Linked DNA regions of Xenopus tropicalis. The protein of the gene in region 3 interacts with the protein of the main gene of each other region in a biochemical or structural test. Links are inferred from orthologs where the notes say so. Each region holds a gene or a part of one and is shown on either strand. Other genes may lie near its edges. The genes, in order: tgs1, thrb, ncoa6, rara and thra.

Region 1 (3,515 bases), on a different chromosome or scaffold from region 3:
CGGTCTTGTTTGACTAACGTTCACTCAAATTTGTATGCTGACTTTTTTTTGGTAGAGGTCTACCAGATGTCAAATAGCGGCTTGCAAAATACATTAGTGAGCATCCCATATCCTAAATGATATAATAGTTTTGCTAGCTGCAGACATTAAGCACTTTTACGTAGGAAAAAACCATATTCAAATATTGGTACAAAAGAAATCATATATAATTTTTTTTTTTTTTTATGCACCAGTAAATTACATTAAATATAATATGCCCTTACGTTCATGAATAGGGTTATGTACATAACTTGAGTTGGGTCTACACTTTCTTTGACCCTCCTCCGTGATCCACATCACATATTCTACATCCGGTTACCCTAGACTGGGATGTGCTAATAAAACACTCACTCCTAATATTTTAAGAGCTAGAAATGTGATCGATGGTGGAGAGTTGTTAAACTTGAAGCAAACTTTGAGCCTTGTTCAGTTCAATTTCTTTTTACATAAAATTCTGTCATTTAGTTTGACAGAATGTATGTATGTATGTATATCTTTATAAAGCGCTACTTATGTACGCAGCGCTTAACAATGTATTGTTAACTTGTAGCCTTCCACTAGCAGGGAAATTTCTATTTAATTCTTGTTTTGTGAATGCTTCTGTCTGCAGCCATATTTAATACTGAGGAATGATATAAATTTTCTCTAGCCACTGGATTCTTGTGAAAAGGTGAATAAAATTTGGAAGAAGAGAAAGACCAAATGCAAGAGACCTTTAGCTGAGCGTATCCAAGAAGCAATAGAAGAGCTAGCCCACAACGCCAGCCATTCTTGTGAAGAAGAATTTCCTGCAGATCCTGAGCAAGCTGATATACAAGGTGGCTGTAATGTAAATCATAAGGATGTCAATACAACTGAATCATCTACTCTAAATGCACCCTCCACAGAGTCTCATGTAAAAGACAAATGGGAAGAATATTGGAATCAGTATGGCCAAGGGTTATTATGGCAGCACTGGGTTGAAAAGCATCCAGAGCTATCCTTGTCAGGAGAGCTTTGTAGCCTTGAACCCTGGAGCTCTGCTGATACCAAGGATGAATGGGATAAATGTTATAATGAATGTTACTGGAGCTATTTTGAACAGTTTCAGTACTGGTCTAATCAAGGGTGGACTTTTGATGCACCCAATGTGTCTAAAATCAGTGAAATACAATCCCAGAGTGCAGATGAAAGCAACCTTAACATCAGCCCCAGGATGTCTGCTGGAGACAGTGATTGCCTTCAGGAAGACCATTGCAAAACTCTTGTAAAATCTATGAGCAACATTAATCTTGATACAGAGGAAAGTGATCAAGGCCATCCTTCTCTAAGTGTTATTAATGAGGGCAATCAGCTGCAAACCCCAGAAAGCTTTGGAAAGCATTGTCCTGATCCTAACCAGAATGAGCCTAGTGATGGAACGGGGAAAAAGTATGCAGCATCTGGACATACAGATACAAGCCCGCCAGGTCTGTAAACTTTTTCCTAGTAGCTTTTATCAACAACAAACTTGTTTGTGATGGCAAACAAATTTGTAAGCATTCTAGCTTTGCAGCATGCGCAGTCGTCATGGGCTACAAGACCTTTGTTCAATTCCTGTATTGTCTCCGCTTATATGTCTGTATTGCTGCTGTTACTCTAGAGTACTCTATAAACGTGCTTGTGCTTTTAGCCCTATAATTATCGATAGGTAGTTAGTGTGGGATGGTGAAGTTTCTTGCTTATAGGTATTTCCTATTTTGCTTTAGTGTCTCAAAGGTCTTCAGGTTCATATTGGCGGACCAGTCCCTCAGCCATCTTGAAGGATGGAGATGAGGAAGATGATGAACCGCCTGAGTGCAAACAAGCTAAAATCAAGAGAAGGTAAAACCCTTGTTGTGTGCTTTCTTTTGCAGATGACCTTTTTTTTGTTGAAGGAAAAGCAAAATATGCTGCTTAGGACAGTAGTAAAAATGGCAATCTTGAGTGTTTTTTGTACTAATTCTGAAATTACCCCTCCACAGAGAGATGTCCTGTTGCTACTGTAAGAGAAATCTATAAATGGCTACAGTACCATAATTTCCCCTAATTTATTTGATAAGGAAAAATATTATTCCAAAATATTATTTTTATTTTTTTTTTTTTAATTTTATTTTAGATTCTAAGAATTTCCAATGCAATTTTTTTCCCCTAGGCATCTTTTCATGCCTAACAGTCAAGCACCCCAAGCCCAGGTTACGATGCACATAGATATAGCATGAGACACTACCTGGTTTCTATACGCAGCAGGGATACATACCTTTTCCCTTCAGGTTAGGGTAAGAAATCTTATTATTTTGGATTGTGATTCTTGTAAGGAATGTTTTTGACTAGGGTTCAGTTTGCAACATTTTAACTTCACATGGGCACTTTGTTTTAGTATCCAGTGGACTCTCTCCTCCTATGATACATTTGTTTTCACTCTGTCATGAGACTGTGTTTGGAACAGGGAGGAAAACGGTTCACTTTTGCACAATGAAGTTTCAATGTATTATTGGCTGTTATACTATGTATTTAATGCATTTTATCTGAGATGTTAACAGACATATTATGTATATAATGCACTTTATTTAATGTATTGTATTGGAATTTGTTTGGTTGTTCCAATATAACACCACTGTGGTTGATGAAGTATTTATTCAATTTACCAATTAACTTTGGGGATGTGGCTAATGAATTGTGTATAAATTTTTTGTGCTTTCACTGATTTTTTTTATGCTTGATAAAGGGGTTATTCTGCACCGAAACGTTACACCTCCGCAATAAAACTTTAAAGGGCTTGTTCCCTAGTTCGTAGCTCTGTGTGCCATTTGCTTTTGTTGCCAAGTTGGTTTTGGGAGGGTGCTGATCCCTCCAGCAGTGTGCACCGTTCATTATTTTGGTGAGCCAGGGCGTGCGGAAAGGGTCTCTGTTGTGCTTACTACCTGGTTTCTAAACACTAATACAAGCTGGTCAATCAGACATCCTATGCAATCTTGACAAATGTCCTTACGCATATATAAAACCTTTTTACCAGAATTTTCTTCTCTTGAACAGTGTCTTTTGTCCTTTTATTCTTTCTTAAATTGTGGGTGTCTGTTCCCTATTTATGTAGGTACTTACAATTTAGCTCCTATTTTCACTTTTAACCCCTCCCTTTCCATAAACCCGCACTGCTTCTCTACCACTTTACCATTCATTTCCCAACCCCTTTTTCTTGAACTATTCCCTTCTCTCCCCTTTATTTTGCTTTTCAATTCTCACTTGTTGGTTGTTCTCTTTGCCAGTCCCTTCTCCTTATTTTTGCTCATTTCTCCCCACTTCACAACTGATTTTCACTTCATCCAATTTTTGCTTCTTCTCGAAAACCCCTTCTCTAATTGTATTGTCTTCTTTCTCCACTACCCTCTCCTTTTTTATTTTTCATTATCTTTATGTGCTCTTTGCCTCTTAGGGTTCTGGCACACAGGGAGATTAGTTGCCCGCAATAAATCTCCCTG
Region 2 (3,960 bases), on a different chromosome or scaffold from region 3:
TGCAGGTTGGCAACCTCATACCTTTATCTGCTGACCATTTGAAGAAAATGAAATATAAAGAATTGTGCTAGAGCTTTGGAAGCCCTGCTTTAAGTATGTCATAATGCCAGTAATTAAAGGAGGACATGGCAACCCATGCCGCTGTGTATATTATGGATGACAAATGTGAGCATTCAACATGTTAAAGACTTGATCATGGCTACTTCCAATGCTGTATGATAGGTAGAAAAAGTGAAAACCTTGCTTTATAACAGGAGAAAAGGGAATACAAAATTAAGATAAATTTCTTCTGAAATTGTGAATAAATATGGTAGTATCCAGTAAATAAGATATCTAATTTTACATTAAACTATATTTTCACCTAACAGAAGAACAGTTCAGTTCTTACTGGAAACATATTGAACTGTCTAGCCATTACATTCAAACAATCAGTATTACATTTTCTGAGTGTAAGACACAGCTTCAATAATAAAGGTTGAAATGGGACACCTGTTCTTTTTCTTAATTGTATTTAATGAGTTGTTATAGAGTCTTCATTAAATTCAAATCAATTTTGATCAATAAGCCCAAGCATGTCCTTTGTGGAACCTTCTGTCCTAGGGTTAATTGAATTTTATAGAAAATTCAATAAACAGGCGTTTAAAAAATATATCTTGGTAAAAAACTTGTTGTATCCTTGAACCTAGGAGGCAAGGTAAAAAATAATATACAAATGCAAAGATAAATTATCAGATGCCACGAATTTACACTTACTAATATACATTTAATGTTAAGTAGTTAAATAATAAAATTGTATTCATATTTTTTAAAACAAGTTGAAAAAAAAAACATTTCTATCAAATCTTATTAGGCAATATGTGAAAAAGGAACTATTAATTAGTGGCTTTGGCTAAGCTGATGAAAAATATAAATTACAAAAATAGGAAAAATGTATAGAATATATATATATATATACAACTACATTTAAAGCTAAATGTAAAAGAAAAAACATAGCCCCTATATCATATATATAGAATTGTTGTTACAGTACAAAAAATAAATTGTTTAATAGTTAAAAATGCTATGCACAGTGGTGTAAAACAATGAATCGAGAAAATAAAATCATAGAAAACATATATTAATGAAAATAAATGGATAATAAAATCAGGGGCATATCTATCTATGGACACAGACAACTCACCACAAAATTCACAGCAAAATAATTCTGCCCCATTCAATTCTATAGGCTTTCTAGAGAACTTTTAGGTGAAATCTGTGGGCACCCCAGTCTCTAATAAATAAAGCCACAGCCTGGTCTATGAGTATATTATATATTAAACTGTACAATCAGCTCAGTTTGTGAGTCACGGACACTATTTATACTCTACTGATGTGCCACAAATCCCTGAAGCGAAATAAGAGAATGCACAAAGTACCTGTTGCTGCTAAAAAAAACCATATAGGTAGGAATGGTATAATGAACATTTTTGACTGAAGATAGCAGCAGGAAGGGGAGCGTCATGCCAAATCAAAACAATGCTTGCAGTAAAAAGTTAAAGTACAATTCTAACTGGTAAATGAAGTATAAGAAATAGCCTGCATTACTGCAATGTAGCTAGTTAGATTGTGCTGTACTACTGTAATATCAGGGTTAATCTCAAATAAATGCAACAGGCTGAAGATTAGCTGCCATCAATGTTGTCTGTACATAGATAAGGACAGGCTGCTGCTCACTGCCAATAACTGAACCTTGCTTTATTTGAAGACAAGAAATTATGTCCCTTTTCATGCTGATACGGTGCCCAAATCTGCAGGTCGTGGCTACAGATTTCACAAACAAAGAAAGGCAAGATAAACAGCTAGAAAACAATGGGACTGTACTCCGGCATGGCACAAAGCACATCCTTGCAGGGTTATTATAAAGGATGCCTAATTACATGGGGTGGGGGTACCCTACAAATAAGAAGAAAACAGAATGCAAGATAAAAATAAAAAGTATAAAATTCCCATTGCCTGGAGGAAGAAAACATTTAATCTCCTAGCAACCTGGATCACGGCTTTGGGTTGATTAGAAACAAGCTTAAAAATAAAAATGTGTATTAAAAACCTGCAACTTTTCCGACCTTATACAGCGCTGGAGGTGAATGCACATGCACAAAGGTAACTGCTCTTCGAAATTATAGAAAAAAAGAAAGAAGCCCGGTATAAAATTGCCCCTACCTTTTTTCTGCGAGTACATCGGAGACTGCCTTTGTGGAAAAGTAGTTTTTTCTTCAGTGAAATACTCGGGTTGGCTGTACTGATTCAGGGCCATGTCCATTTCAGAGTACTCGCTTTTAAACATGTTTCCAGGGTAACTACAGGTATAAGGTTGATTCACCGCCCAGGCCTGTTCCATATATATGTTATTGTTGTGTAGGACCTGAGCCTCAGAACTGCTGTAGCTCTGACTATCTTCAATATACGTGCAATAATCAGGAGGCTGCATGCAGCAGTTGTTAGCAGCAGCCTGGTGCACATCATAGAATTCTTGCATGCAATAGTTCATTTTGCTATGCGAGCTAAAGTTCTACCTTACGTATACACAACAGCCACCTGCATGCATAGACATAGAACCAGGAATGGAGCAATGAATATACAACGGGCACTAAAAGCTGACTCAAAACACTGTGATTCTCCTTGAAGCAGCACCTTGTGTACTAAGATCCTATTTATATCTGGGATGCTTCTGAGCAACTCCAGCAGCCAAACATGTTGGAAAAGAGATTTATGACAGTTTAAGGTCCTAATCTGCAGGCTAAATCCTGGTAAAGATGGTAGCACAGACAGGTAGCAGAGCGCATTAGAGGCAGAACACAAGGCAAGCTTGACACCAATCTTATGCTGAATTAAGATTTTACAAGAACTTTGCAAACTTCTATTCATTCTGTCATGGTGACATACGAGTGCTTATAGTTTATTTGACAACCAACGGGAAAAGCCTAACAAAGACATAGGGCTATGGTAAATCCTAAAATCAATAATCCAGAATCTAACTATATCCCTTTAGATTTCCAATAGCAGAACCTAGATGACCCATAACAGAACATAAAAGGTAAACGTGTTAGCATCTTAATCTGCTGTTTAGTTGTATTGATCATATTGATTTGGTGTTACAGCATTAACTGCTTGTTAGGCACAGATCTTCAAGTATTGATTGCCATTTATGTGCCAGCTTTGCTACAACTGAACATTGTGCTTGGTTTGAACAGCCTGTGAAATGCATTGTTTGTCTATTTATACTTATATAGAAGAAATTTAAAATGTTGACTAATCACCTCCTGTTTATGTCTAATAAATTAGCAAGGTCAAAGTTTAAAAATGTCCCTTTTCACTGCTTGACTGTCTCTTGAGTGTCTAACTCACATGTTACAGCTATAGAAATAAAAATACAGATAAATAAATGGTAAGTGTTGTTTATCACTGTATTGGTAGAATTATGAACATAGCCAGTAGGAAGTGGCTTATTTACATAAAATGTTGTTGTAGAATGCAAACTTTTTGTCATGTTTATAAGCAATCAGGTTTTTAAGATTCAGGTTTTTTAATCAATAAGCATAAGATCGAGTTTGGTTAGTTTTAATTAATTGGAAAAAACTTGGATGTGTGCTTATTAATTAAAAAAACCTGAATCTCAAAAACTTGATTGCTTAATAATGTGAAAAAAAATCACAAATTAGAATTTTTCTAAATAGGCCACACTGAATTTCAAAAACTTGTCACTGATGCCCAGCTGGAGGTTTACAGGACACATGCAGTCCTTCACATTTATTGCCCTTTTTGGCTACTGAAAGACTCTGAAACTACTTTTATATTATACCACAAATTTTAAACAGTTTTAATTCTGTACATTTGGCAAACAGGATATTTGGCTCACTGGGTGGCGAAATTAGAACAGTGAAATAAATGATAGTTAAAACTTTGTGTACTCACATTCATTAA
Region 3 (3,973 bases):
CCTGGGGGCAGCCATTCCTGCACTGGTACAGCTGGGGTGTTTGCTACAGAAACCCTACTATAGTTTATATAAATACCCCGCTGTGTAGCCCCGGGGGCAGCCATTCCTGCACTGGTACAGCTGGGGTGTTTGCTACAGAAACCCTACTATAGTTTATATAAATACCCCGCTGTGTAGCCCCGGGGGCAGCCATTCCTGCACTGGTACAGCTGGGGTGTTTGCTACAGAAACCCTACTATAGTTTATATAAATACCCCGCTGTGTAGCCCGGGGGCAGACATTCAAGCTGGAAAAAAGGAGAAAAGGCACAGGTTACATAGCGAATAACAGATAAGCTCTGTAGAATATAATGGGGCTTTATCTGTTATCTGCTATGAGCCTCTGCCTTTTCTCCTTTAGGGCTCTGGCACACGGGGAGATTAGTCGCCCGCGACAAATCTCCCTGTTCGCGGGCGACTAATCTCCCCGAGTTGCCATCCCACCGGCGAACATGTAAGTCGCCGGTGGCACACGCGGCGGCGCGATTTCGGCAAATGCAGTACATTATATCTTAATTATTTTTATACACTTTCATTTCTTGGTGTTACTGTTCCTTTAAGAGCTATAACTCTCAGCATTCCTTCATGCCGTTTGCTGGATCTATTAACCAGAAACCCATCTCTGGAATGTTTTACAACATGTGCTGTTTCACACAGAGCCCTATGGTTGCAAAAATGTTTCAATAATTTTTCTCTCTGAAATAATAAAGCAGAACAATAAACTTCAAAGAAAATAATCTGCATAAATCCATTTTGGTGGTTTTTTTTAAAAAAAAATGTCTTTTTTAGCAGCCTTAAAAAAAAAACCACCAGAAAGGACCCTTATCCATAAAAGCCAACTTCCCAAGCCTGAAGGCTGTATTAGCAGAACATCCCAAGCGCTAAACTATAAAACATCCCTAAAGCTGTGGGACAGGTGTCTCTGTCCCTGTCATGGAGGTCAGACGGTGTCAGCATCCCCTCCACACTGAAACACTTCCTTTCATTGCGCACAACCTCGCCCATTTTCTGGCAAGTCCCGCCCACTTTCTGGCAAGCCGTAGCCCTGCCTAGCACGGAACTACCCCCGTACTCCTCTCCTGGGCTCAGCCGCACTGACGTCACGCCTCTCGCCAATCCATTGGTCGGGCGGACTCTACCATTTTGACAGGGGTGTACGCAAGCGCGGCTTCCTTGCAGTTTAGTGCTTATTGTGAGGTCAACACCCCCCTGCCGCTTGCAGCTAGTGGTACGGGCTGGGCCTCGTTGCTGTTCGTTGTTCCCGGGAGCGGAAGGAACCAAGTGTCCGGTGCGAGGTGAGGGGGGTGCACAATAATGAGAATGGGTATGTTTGTTATATGCATGCATAACTGGGCCTGTATGGCGAAATGTAAACATTGTAACTGTGCATTTGGTCTTATATCTGCCATTAACACCTATTCGTACCTACTGGGTAGCTGGAGTCCTATGCACTGCAAATGTCTGCTTGCATAATAGACAGTGTGTGTAATGAAGGCATTTTACTTACCCTTTAATGTTTCTTTATAGTGGGATTTAGGTACTGTGGGGCTGCACTAGCCCTTATGTTACAACCCTCTAGTGTAATTTATATTTGATATTGACATCCATCATATAGATATAGGCATTATGGTTGAACGTGATGGACGTATGTCTTTTTTCAACCCAACTTACTATGTTACTATCATTAGGGTGTGCTTATTTACAAGGACATATTTAACTGTAAGCCCCATCAGCATTGTGATATAAGTGAGATATAAGGACCCAGTGGCTTTATTAATGTCCCCCCTATCCTATCCTTTTCACCCTGTGGCTGGTGAGGGCTGCTGGGATATGCAGCAAAGGGTTGGGTGCTGTTTATAGGGCTAGAGCATCAGGCTTTACACCACATATTGCTTAATAAAGTGCTGCATAACGTGTTGGCGCTTTATAAGTAAATGATGATGATGTCTCCAGATCCATAGAAGTGGCAGGTATAGAAGGTCCCACCAATTTGCCTTCCCTCTTTCAGTGCTACGGGGGCTGTGAGTGACCAGTTATGGACTTGATAAGAAGGTAGGCAGCAGGCACATCTTTGCTAAACTATATAATAATGGTGCTTAGTTGTCACCCCTGTGTCATCAGGTAGATAATGACCCAGGCCTGGGTTTATTTAACCTTCTTCTCCTTTACAACAATGGCAAGTTTACAGATTTATGAAAACGTTCATCCTGCGATTGTTCCAAGAATGGCTAGGAACTTATGTTGCTCAACATCATGGTCTTCAAGGAATATCTAAGCCAATCATCATGCATCCCCAGTCTCACCCAAACTGCCCTTTAGGCTGGGCAAGGCAGGGGCTAATGTGATGAGCTGGTATAGTTACTGATGTACTGATATTAGGTTTTAGTTTGAGGATTTGGAAGAAGTCAAAGCATTAAGTATCTTAAAGAGGTGAAATATTAAATATAAGAAGGTTGCTAGGCTAGGGCTGGAGGGGGTCGATATGACAATAACGAGACACGACTAAGGCAAAGTTGATGCACTCTGAATTGTACAAGTATTTGAATTGCATTTATAAATATTTGTCATTTCAGTTCACATCCATAGCCAACAGCATATGCTTACGTACCAATGACTAGCATATGTTTAGCCAGTGATGTTGTAAGCTCAGAGTGCCTTCAGTGAAGGTCGTCCTATCCTCAGAATATACCAAAAAGTCTTTCCTTTTGTTTTTCTCCCAAATACCCTTGAGATAACTGGTTATCTGGACATGCATGCTATGATCTGCTTGTTTAGCGCTAACCCCATGGATATTTGTCCAAATCACATGATTAGTCTCCGCCTGGGTAATGTTGAGGCCTGTATAGACCTATTGGGAATGGACCAAGGTGGTCAGTTTTTTCAGCTAACCCAGTTAATATCTGTCTGTCTGGCCAAATTGCATAATACTCAGTGGCCATTGTTTAAACACTAAGGGCAGTGCAATTTACAGCTGAGATGGAAGGGGGAAGCAATTAGCCCTCCATAGACTTTTGTGGTTATCACCAGTGAAGGGGGGGGTAAATTTTTTTCTTCACTCGTATCTAAGTTATTTATAATTTTCTCAACAGGCTAACAAATTGGAGATCCTGGTAGTGGAAATAACTGAAGATGCCTGCCTCTGCCATTCATCTGACAAAATCAGACGGTGTAGAAACGTAGGAAAAGGGAAGAACTTGGAACATTATTGGTAAGGGAACTGCAAATCCAGGTTGTACGTTTGTACATTTATTTTTTATAGATATGAGCTCTGACATTTTGTGTGTTGTGTTTTTTTGACTCCTCAACAGAGTGTCATTGTCACAGAGTTGGAAGACACACGGTCATGGCCTCCCACTACCTTCCTGACCCAGGAGAGCCCCAGACCAGACCTCCTGCGTCCCCTTCACAACCGCAAGATGGAGACACCGACTCCGGAATAGAAGATGAGCTCAGATTAGAAGAAGCAGACTCTACCATTTTCTTGGCTTTCAAGGGAGATATTGGAGACACTGATTTCCAGCAAAAGCTAGACAAGATTTTGAATACTGTTCCAAGCCTCGTTAGCATGGGTATAGTAATCAACTTATTCAGGGGCATGGGGGGTGGGGGGGGCAAATACATGATCTCCCTGGGTTTCCCTGTGCTAGTCGGTAACATGCAAACAAACTCATTCAAATTGCATGTCCTCCCTGTGTAGAGTCCGACCAGCTGAGAGTTCAGAAGGTGGAGCCATGGAACAGCGTCAGGGTAACGTTCAACATCCCAAGGGAAGCGGCTGAGCGGCTGCGCCTCCTCGCTCAGAGTAACAACCAGCAACTACGGGACCTAGGAATTCTGTCTGTCCAAATTGAAGGTATAACCGTATTGCTTCTGCCCTTGTTTTTTGTCTTTTTATAATTGGTCCTTTGCATATTTCCTTACGCTGAAATATATTT
Region 4 (4,190 bases), about 32 Mb from region 3:
CATGGTACGGAAAGTATCGGGACAATAATTCTGAGGCCACACATGGTCCGAAAATCGTATGAAGATTGTATTGATAGGTGTATGGCCAGCTTAACCCTCATACAGGCATCTTGGTGGCTCCTACCTGCTGTAGTTGGCCACCATTGTCAGTTGCTCAGGTGATAATTACCCCAAAACCCTCGCTGCCCCCTGGGAAGGGCGTCCCACAGTGCTTACATTCCATGGCCCATAGCAGGGACCCAAGTTGTAGCAGTCAGTGATTTTTATTTTTATTTTTTTTGGGGGAAAAAAAAACTTGTCAGGCCAAAATCAGAATAAGTTATAAAGCCACTGGTGTTGGGCTGGTGTGGGGGTATATACACTCATTTGTATTTATTAGCAGGAGCCTGCCATACTAGTACTGGGGGGGGGAGGGGTCAGTTGATTCCCAAATATGCGGGGGGGGGGGGGGGGAAATGTCTGTGATGTCACTGTGAGAGAAGGAGACGGTTGGGTCGTTTGGAGGTGAGGCGAGAGGGTCACTGAGAGGTCACATGCATGATATTAGGCAAATGAGGGGGGTATTGAAGGGGGGGGTTGGGGTATTTAGATCATGGCAGGAATACACAGGAAGGTGGGAAATGGGCAGGGCAGGCTTTGTTGTGATTGAGCTGTGCCCCCAGTGGCATGCAATGGGTTAAAAGATAGGGGGTGTTGACTTGCGAGGCTCAGCTGCCTCCAGTCCATCAGGAGGGGGAGGAGGCAGGAGGAGACACGGCTGTAGAGTTTGCAGCATTGAGCGGTGTGTGTGTGTCACGGGGATCAGTCCTGAGAGGAACAGTATTCCCCCAATGCGCCTCGGCCCATTACAGGAGAGCAGGGAAGCCCCTCCGCCGCGTTACCAGGAAACCGGGCATCCCCATTCTGCATGGAGCCTCCATTCTGCCTAGTAACCCACATACCCAGGGAAGCCTGCAGGAATACCTCCGTCTGACCAGGGATCCTTCAGTCTGTGGCACCGGTCGCCCCTGGGGGTGCAAGGATAACCGTCCCCATTAGCATTGATCCTAACAAGGAGCCCGTTGTGCTAACAAGGAGATCCCACACAGGAAGTTGTGCAGATTCTGCAGCAGGAGAAGTTGACTGGGGGTCCATAGAGAGACCTTCCATTACAGGGCAACCCCCTTCCCCCTGCTGAGAAGAATTGCCCCTTATCTCACACTATCTGCCTGCAAGGACTCCAGCTGCCCCTGTAGGGATTGGGAGCTGATCCCCAACAGATTTGGCCTAATTAAGACTTATAGGTAAGGGATCGACATGCCGGGCAACCCTTTTAATCCCCTGCCACTCTCCCTGATCCCCAGCCAAACTGGGTGCCCCCCAAATTAAGTGGTTCGGAGTGGGGGTTCTGCCCCCGTTGTGCTGTGCCAGGGATTCCATGACTTCAGCCGGAAGAACAACAGATTGAGAAGCAAAAAATTGGGCTACGCTGCAGCATGATGGAAAGGGCATGTAGGGTTCTGGGACACAAGGAAAGGCTCTGCACGGACCACCCTATATGCAGCTAGTGGGGTTCACGTTTTACACCCAGGACTCCCCCCCCAGTTCCAGTTATTTGATGGAATCCGTGCGGAGAGTCTCCCATGTGATATTCCCAGCGGATCTGCCTGCAGAAGCCCATCCCTGCATTTCCCACCGACTTGGAGAATCTCCAATGGCTCTGCTGTGGGATTCCTCCTAAGTCCATAACAATTTCCTACCGGATCTTTGGGGTTTTTCCCCCCCTATTACCCTAAAAATTCCAATTCAACCCCAGACTGCTGAATTCTCTTCCACCCCCCCATTTTTTTTTTTCTTTTCTTTTTGTTATATGGTGAATTTGGAAGGGATTGTAGGATGTACGAGAATGTGGACGTTCCTGGTTTGGGCACTAGCCCGACGCACTACCATATGATGGATTTCTATAGCCAGAACCGGGCTTGCCTATTGCAGGAGAAAGGACTCGGGACCATGCATCCCTACGGGACGCCACTTCGAAGTCAACACTGGAGCAGTTCCAACCACTGTACGTAGGTGATACCCTCTCCACAATCCCCGTCCCTTGTACCGCGGCGGTGCCGCTCGCGCCTGGCTTATTGTTCTTATTTTATTATCAATTTGACAATTTTATTGCCCATTATTCTCGTAGAAGACATCTGTAATTGTGGCACGTTAATGCCTATGTCCAGATGCGCCGCGGCAACATCTGTACGGATAATGCTCTGTATAAATAATCCCAATCTATAACGTGCGCCGAACAATAGTCTCTTTGCGCCGCTCGTAGAGTTGGATTATCCGTCTGTCCTAATGGGAAGATCTTTGTTTTGCTGTTTGTCCTGCAGTGGAGACAATGGCAAACAAATTCTTTCTAGACTGTTGTGGGTGGGACTGTCTCTAGACCATGACAAGATAACCTCATTTACCGCTAGTAGAACGTTCTAGCCGGAGACCGTTTCCCTATACGGGGGCTGTTAGTAACGCAGGGAACTTACTGCTAGATAAGCGTTTAGGCCTCAATTGCGCTCGGATTGAAATGAATATTTTTTTTAATATCGCCAGTATAATAACAATAGCATCATATCTGGGCTATGCAGTATTCTCAGAGTAGCGCTTTATCCACAAACCTATGGGGGTTCTTCTGTTATGGAACTACAACTCCCAGCATGCCCTTACAAGCTTCACTTGTACAGGTCTAGTTCCTGTGTTACATTGCCTCTGGCTATTATTGGGTGAATGCAACTTAATGAGGGTAATGGAAATAAATGACAAATTATGTGTTTTGCATTTTCATGCCGAGCCGCGCTGTATCGTTTCAAAGCGGTTTATTTTCGTAAATGAATTTGGGCCCTGTCTTTGTAACGGTTCCGTGAGCGAGGAATGGGCCTCTGGGCCCACAATCCAGTTTGATAGTAATTAAGTCACCATTCCTGTCTCTCTGTAACTCTCGGGGCATAGGGGCAAAACTCAATGTAGTAATAACAATATCCTGCATAATACTATTTGATACAAACACTTAGGGTGAAGACACACTGGGCTACTTAGTAGCAGCTACTTGTCACGGCTACTAAACTCCAGAAAATCCCCTGCCATAGACAATACTGAGAATTGCCTCTGCTAAAGCACAAGTAGAGACAGTTATCAGTAAATGATCAGCATTGTCTGTTTCTGTCGCTGTGACAAGTAGCTGCTACTAAGTAGCTCTGTGTGTCTTCACCCTAAAACGTGGCTCCACTTAACTCTTCCTTTACCCCTCTGTGTAAAAAAGTATAGCCGGATATGCTGGTGGGCAGCAGTCGGATAACAATGTGGCTGCAGTGTATGGTATGGAGCATTAAAGGGCAACTGCACCCAAAAACTGTTTCGATAATGTAATCCTAAGCAACTTGCCGATATAAATTCATTATACATTCTAGTGGTTTTTTGTAATTGATAAATGAAATCAAAGCAGCATTTGGGCCTTCCTGTCCTCTGGGACTCTCACATGTAGCAGAAGTCCAGCCTCCTCCGGGGTATCCCTGCATTGTTTCAGTAGTCAGAACCAGCAGTGCAGCCAGATTGTGAAACCTTTTCATTACAGGGGTAGTTAACTCTGTTACAGAGTGGCCTATTCTTTGCAACTTTTTAGTTGGTCTTCATTTTTATTTTGTATAGTTTTTTAATTATTTGCTCCTTCTTCTGCCTCTTTCCAGCTTTCAAATGGGGGTCACTGACCCCGGCAGCCAAAAACCTATTGCTCTGTGAGGCTCCAGTTTTATTGTTATTGTTACTTTGTATTACTTACATTTCTATGTAGGCCCTCCTCTATCATATCTCTGTCTCTCTTTCAATCCACTGCCTGGTTGCTAGGTTAAATTGGACCCCAGCAACCGGATAGCTGCTGGACATACCAAACTGGAGAGTTGCCACTTAAAAACCTAAATAATAAAAAAAATAAAAGACCAACTGCAAATTAACTCAGAATAGTACTCTCTACATTGCACCAAAAGTTAATATAAAGGTGAACTGCCCCTTAATTGTATTTTTAATGCGGGCCGTGTATATGACTATTAGATTAATACAGTGGAGAATTAAAGGCACAGTGTAGCCAATACGCTCACGTCAGCACTAAAGTTTATTATGGTTACTTGTCCTTGATTTTGTGGGTTTGTGGTAGTATTTTGGGAAGCACTTTT
Region 5 (3,515 bases), about 32 Mb from region 3:
CCAGACCAAAAATGGAGACATTTTGCTTATTTATTCAGCACTAAATATTCCTGCATGAAGTATGCAAACCCTTCGTTCAGCAACCGGTGGCACCTTGTAGAGCAGCAGGAACTTCAAATAAACATTTCCTTCAGCGTTTCATCAGCGTCTTCCATAGGCCTGGGGGAATTTAGGCCCATTCTTCCCAAAAGAAACAGTTTCGGGTCAACTATGGTGGCTGGGTCGCCATGTACGCCAGTCTGGTCTATAATACTGTGTGGTTACCCTTGCATACAGCATTCCACTTACACTTCTCATTATGATCAGGGTGTTTTTATGACTTTGCATACAAATCCATGGGGAGAAACCCACTGACATGGCAACCAACAATGGGGTCATGGAGGAAATCAGGTAGCACTTATCCTTTCTCAAGCCTTCGGATGAATGTCTGATGAGTTCCCATTTATACTTATAGGCTTCAGTTTTTTATTGCGCATTTATTGAAGCACCACATGATTATCTAATCATACGCTGTATCCATGGCTTTAAAACAAGAGCTTCTCTTCCATTTTTGCACTGATTTCTTTATTAAGTTGCTAGTTTGTGCCTGAATATCAGGAGGAGCCCTAGTTGGCCCAATCCAGCACTGCTCTGAACATCTTAACGGAGACATATAGTATAACTGTAAACCCCTCCAAGCTTGTAGGCAATAATGAATTATAAGTGGTGCCAGTTTTACTAAATATTATCCTCTCTGGTCCCTGTGAGTGTTCCAAATAAGAGGTGGATGAGTCCTAATTGTCCATGCTAGAAGCACAGTAGGAGAGGGATAGCCAATCACAGCCCTCCAGTCACCCAGGGAAAGACGGGCTTCAGTTCTCTATCAGGTCAGCCTAGCTGCTGATTGGTTCCTATCCTACAGGGCAGTGTGCTGAGTGCCGCCGGCCCCCCTGCACAGCCTGGGAAAGGAAGTGGATGGAAGTGGGACAGATGGGCAGGGCTAGTAGGGTTTGGGGGGGTTATTTCAATAAATCAACCCAAAACGCTACTTTTCTCACCATGTTTAGAGGAATATAATGCCCAGGCACATTCTTAATTTCCACACAGTATGTCTCCTTCAATGTCCATGCTCACAGAGTTCTCACCCTCTGCCTTTTTTCCCCTCTTTCTCTCATTTTTCAATATCAGTCCTTATACATTCCTGTTTCACACTGGAATCTGTCTATTTTTTTATGTTGGCTTGCCTTTGTTTCCTTGAGTCTATTATGTTTTTCTCCTCATCCGTTTAATTCTGTTCACCTTCACCTCTTTTATTCTCACTGCTCTCCCTGTCTGTCTCTCTCCATCTCCCCAGTTGTCCTGGATGATACCAAGCGGGTAGCCAAGCGAAAACTGATTGAAGAGAATCGAGAGCGGCGGCGGAAGGAGGAGATGATCAAGACTCTGCAACAGCGTCCAGAGCCCAGCAAAGAGGAGTGGGAGTTGATTCGCATCGTAACAGAAGCTCACAGGAGCACCAACGCTCAGGGCAGCCACTGGAAACAGCGTAGGAAGTTTCTGGTGAGGCTGATGAAGAATTCAATGTAGTACAGTAGATATATGGCGGCCATCGTTCTGGGCCGCAGAGCCATGGGTGGAGTTTTAAGTTGGAGCAGCTTGGGAGCTATTCATAAATTAAAAATGAGACCATATGGAGTTGGTCATAATTACAGGAAACAGACGTGTCTAACAATGGAAAGTGTTTCAGTAAGAGCAGGCAAACTGCAGGGATATATATAATGTTAATGTTTGGGAGAGGTATAGGAGAGCTTATATAGAGCACCTAGACAGCTGTTTATTGATTCTGGTACCCTAATACCTTTGATTTCCCCTCCGTGCTCCCCTTGAACAGTCCAACGGGGAGCGGCGATGCACAGCTATGTAGTAAAGTAGCCTTTGCAGGATACAGCAGGGAATCCCTGGGATTTCCGTAAGGGAACTTCCTGTGCAGATGGAGAAGCTGTGACCCCTTGGAGAGAGCAAGCAGCATCTGTTGCCCTCCAGCTCGTGCCCCCTGCCCCAGCGCCGGGGTTTCCAAAGAGTTTGCCTAGACTTCAACATAGGTCAGCACGCAGATGGCAATGTAGAAAGCAAGTTTAGTGCATTGTCAAAGGCACCGTCTGGTCTGTGTGTGCAGAATAATGGTGCAGTCTTCCTTATTTTTTATTGTAGCCATATATTTCTGCCCCAAATTTGTATTCCCCTGTCCTTTAGTGCAGTTGGGGTAGATACACACTGCACCCTCTATGCTGCCCAGCAAGGGGGTACTTGTGCCTTTCACTCTCTCTGCAGCAGAGCAGTATGGCATCCATGCCTATAAGTGCTGCATTGAAATCTGTCATCAGTACCCTGTAATTAGTGTTGTGTTAATTAGTATATGTTCCTCTCTGCAGCAATGCAGCCTGCTATTAACCCCTGTATATATGCTACTGGTGTCATTATCTGTGTGTAATAGGGAATTGTACCAGTGTGCTGCAGCACAGATCTGTGCCCTTTATGCTCTTTATTTGTGTAGCAAAGTCTTTGCTTCTTGCCAAATGCAACAGTGCCTCCTCTTATTTTTCTTTCTGTACAGCAGTGCATAATCATGCCTGCCCTGAGTGATTTCCTTCTATTCTGCTCCAATATATGTCTGATTCCTTTATAGTGTCTCTGTGTTCACTCATGCCTCAGTGTTCAGCAGTCAGTTTGGGTCCCCAGCTTCGGCACTTAGCCATACGGTTTTGGTATGGGTGCTTAGAAGTCTGTTGGCCTATGTGTTCTTCAGTACATTTTTGGTACCAATGCCTTTTGGGGTACCCATGCTTCAGTGCTCATCAGTAAATCAGTACACCCATGCCCTGGTGTTTAGTAGTCTGTTTTGGTACTTAGCGGTGTAGCACCCAAGCTTTAGTGTTTAGTAGTACATTTCTAATGCTCATTCCTTGGCACTTAGCATTCCATTAGGGTGGCCCTCCCTCAGTGCTTAGCAGTAGATTACTGGTACCTATTCCTCAGTTTATAGCAGCCTGCCCTGGTAGCCAAGCCTCAGTGCTTATTATTCCATTTTGATACTTAGCAGTCGGGTACCCATGCTTTAGTGCTTAGAAGTACATTTATAAAACCTATTCCTTGGCACTTAGCAGTCCGTTTTGTTACTCATCCCTCAGTTCTTAGCGGTTCCTATTCCTTGGTACATATTAGCACAATCTGGTACCCATCTCCCTCCCTGTGTATAGCCCTGCCTTCTATAACCTGCGCCTGTGTATAGCCCTGCCTTCTGTTACCTGTGCCTGTGTATAGCCCTGCCTTCTGTTACCTGCGCCTGTGTATAGCCCTGCCTTCTGTTACCTGTGCCTGTGTATAGCCCTGCTTTCTATAACCTGTGCCTGTGTATAGCCCTGCCTTCTATAACCTGTGCCTGTGTATAGCCCTGCCTTCTATAACCTGTGCCTGTGTATAGCCCTGCCTTCTGTTACCTGCGCCTGTGTATAGCCCTGCCTTCTGTTACCTGTGCC

The links.
Region 1: the proteins of ncoa6 (region 3) and tgs1 form a complex in vitro, tested with the Homo sapiens proteins (2 studies listed by BioGRID). The link is inferred for Xenopus tropicalis from reciprocal best matches to the Homo sapiens genes NCOA6 and TGS1.
Region 2: the proteins of ncoa6 (region 3) and thrb form a complex in vitro, tested with the Homo sapiens proteins (2 studies listed by BioGRID). The link is inferred for Xenopus tropicalis from reciprocal best matches to the Homo sapiens genes NCOA6 and THRB.
Region 4: the proteins of ncoa6 (region 3) and rara form a complex in vitro, tested with the Homo sapiens proteins (3 studies listed by BioGRID). The link is inferred for Xenopus tropicalis from reciprocal best matches to the Homo sapiens genes NCOA6 and RARA.
Region 5: the proteins of ncoa6 (region 3) and thra form a complex in vitro, tested with the Homo sapiens proteins (2 studies listed by BioGRID). The link is inferred for Xenopus tropicalis from reciprocal best matches to the Homo sapiens genes NCOA6 and THRA.

What each region holds. Positions count from the first base shown.
Region 1 is NC_030682.2:115,602,167-115,605,681, forward strand, and holds part of tgs1 (trimethylguanosine synthase), read left to right. Parts: intron 1-688; coding exon 689-1,487; intron 1,488-1,766; coding exon 1,767-1,881; intron 1,882-3,515. UniProt on the Homo sapiens protein: Catalyzes the 2 serial methylation steps for the conversion of the 7-monomethylguanosine (m(7)G) caps of snRNAs and snoRNAs to a 2,2,7-trimethylguanosine (m(2,2,7)G) cap structure.
Region 2 is NC_030682.2:46,716,342-46,720,301, forward strand, and holds the start of thrb (thyroid hormone receptor beta), read right to left. Parts: upstream 2,809-3,960; 5' UTR 2,528-2,808; coding exon 2,200-2,527; intron 1-2,199.
Region 3 is NC_030686.2:41,065,877-41,069,849, forward strand, and holds the start of ncoa6 (nuclear receptor coactivator 6), read left to right. Parts: upstream 1-1,169; 5' UTR 1,170-1,362; intron 1,363-3,127; 5' UTR 3,128-3,246; intron 3,247-3,346; 5' UTR 3,347-3,381; coding exon 3,382-3,607; intron 3,608-3,735; coding exon 3,736-3,891; intron 3,892-3,973. UniProt on the Homo sapiens protein: Nuclear receptor coactivator that directly binds nuclear receptors and stimulates the transcriptional activities in a hormone-dependent fashion. Coactivates expression in an agonist- and AF2-dependent manner.
Region 4 is NC_030686.2:8,758,054-8,762,243, reverse strand, and holds the start of rara (retinoic acid receptor alpha), read left to right. Parts: upstream 1-1,379; 5' UTR 1,380-1,875; coding exon 1,876-2,044; intron 2,045-4,190. UniProt on the Homo sapiens protein: Receptor for retinoic acid. Retinoic acid receptors bind as heterodimers to their target response elements in response to their ligands, all-trans or 9-cis retinoic acid, and regulate gene expression in various biological processes.
Region 5 is NC_030686.2:9,072,141-9,075,655, reverse strand, and holds part of thra (thyroid hormone receptor alpha), read left to right. Parts: intron 1-1,333; coding exon 1,334-1,539; intron 1,540-3,515.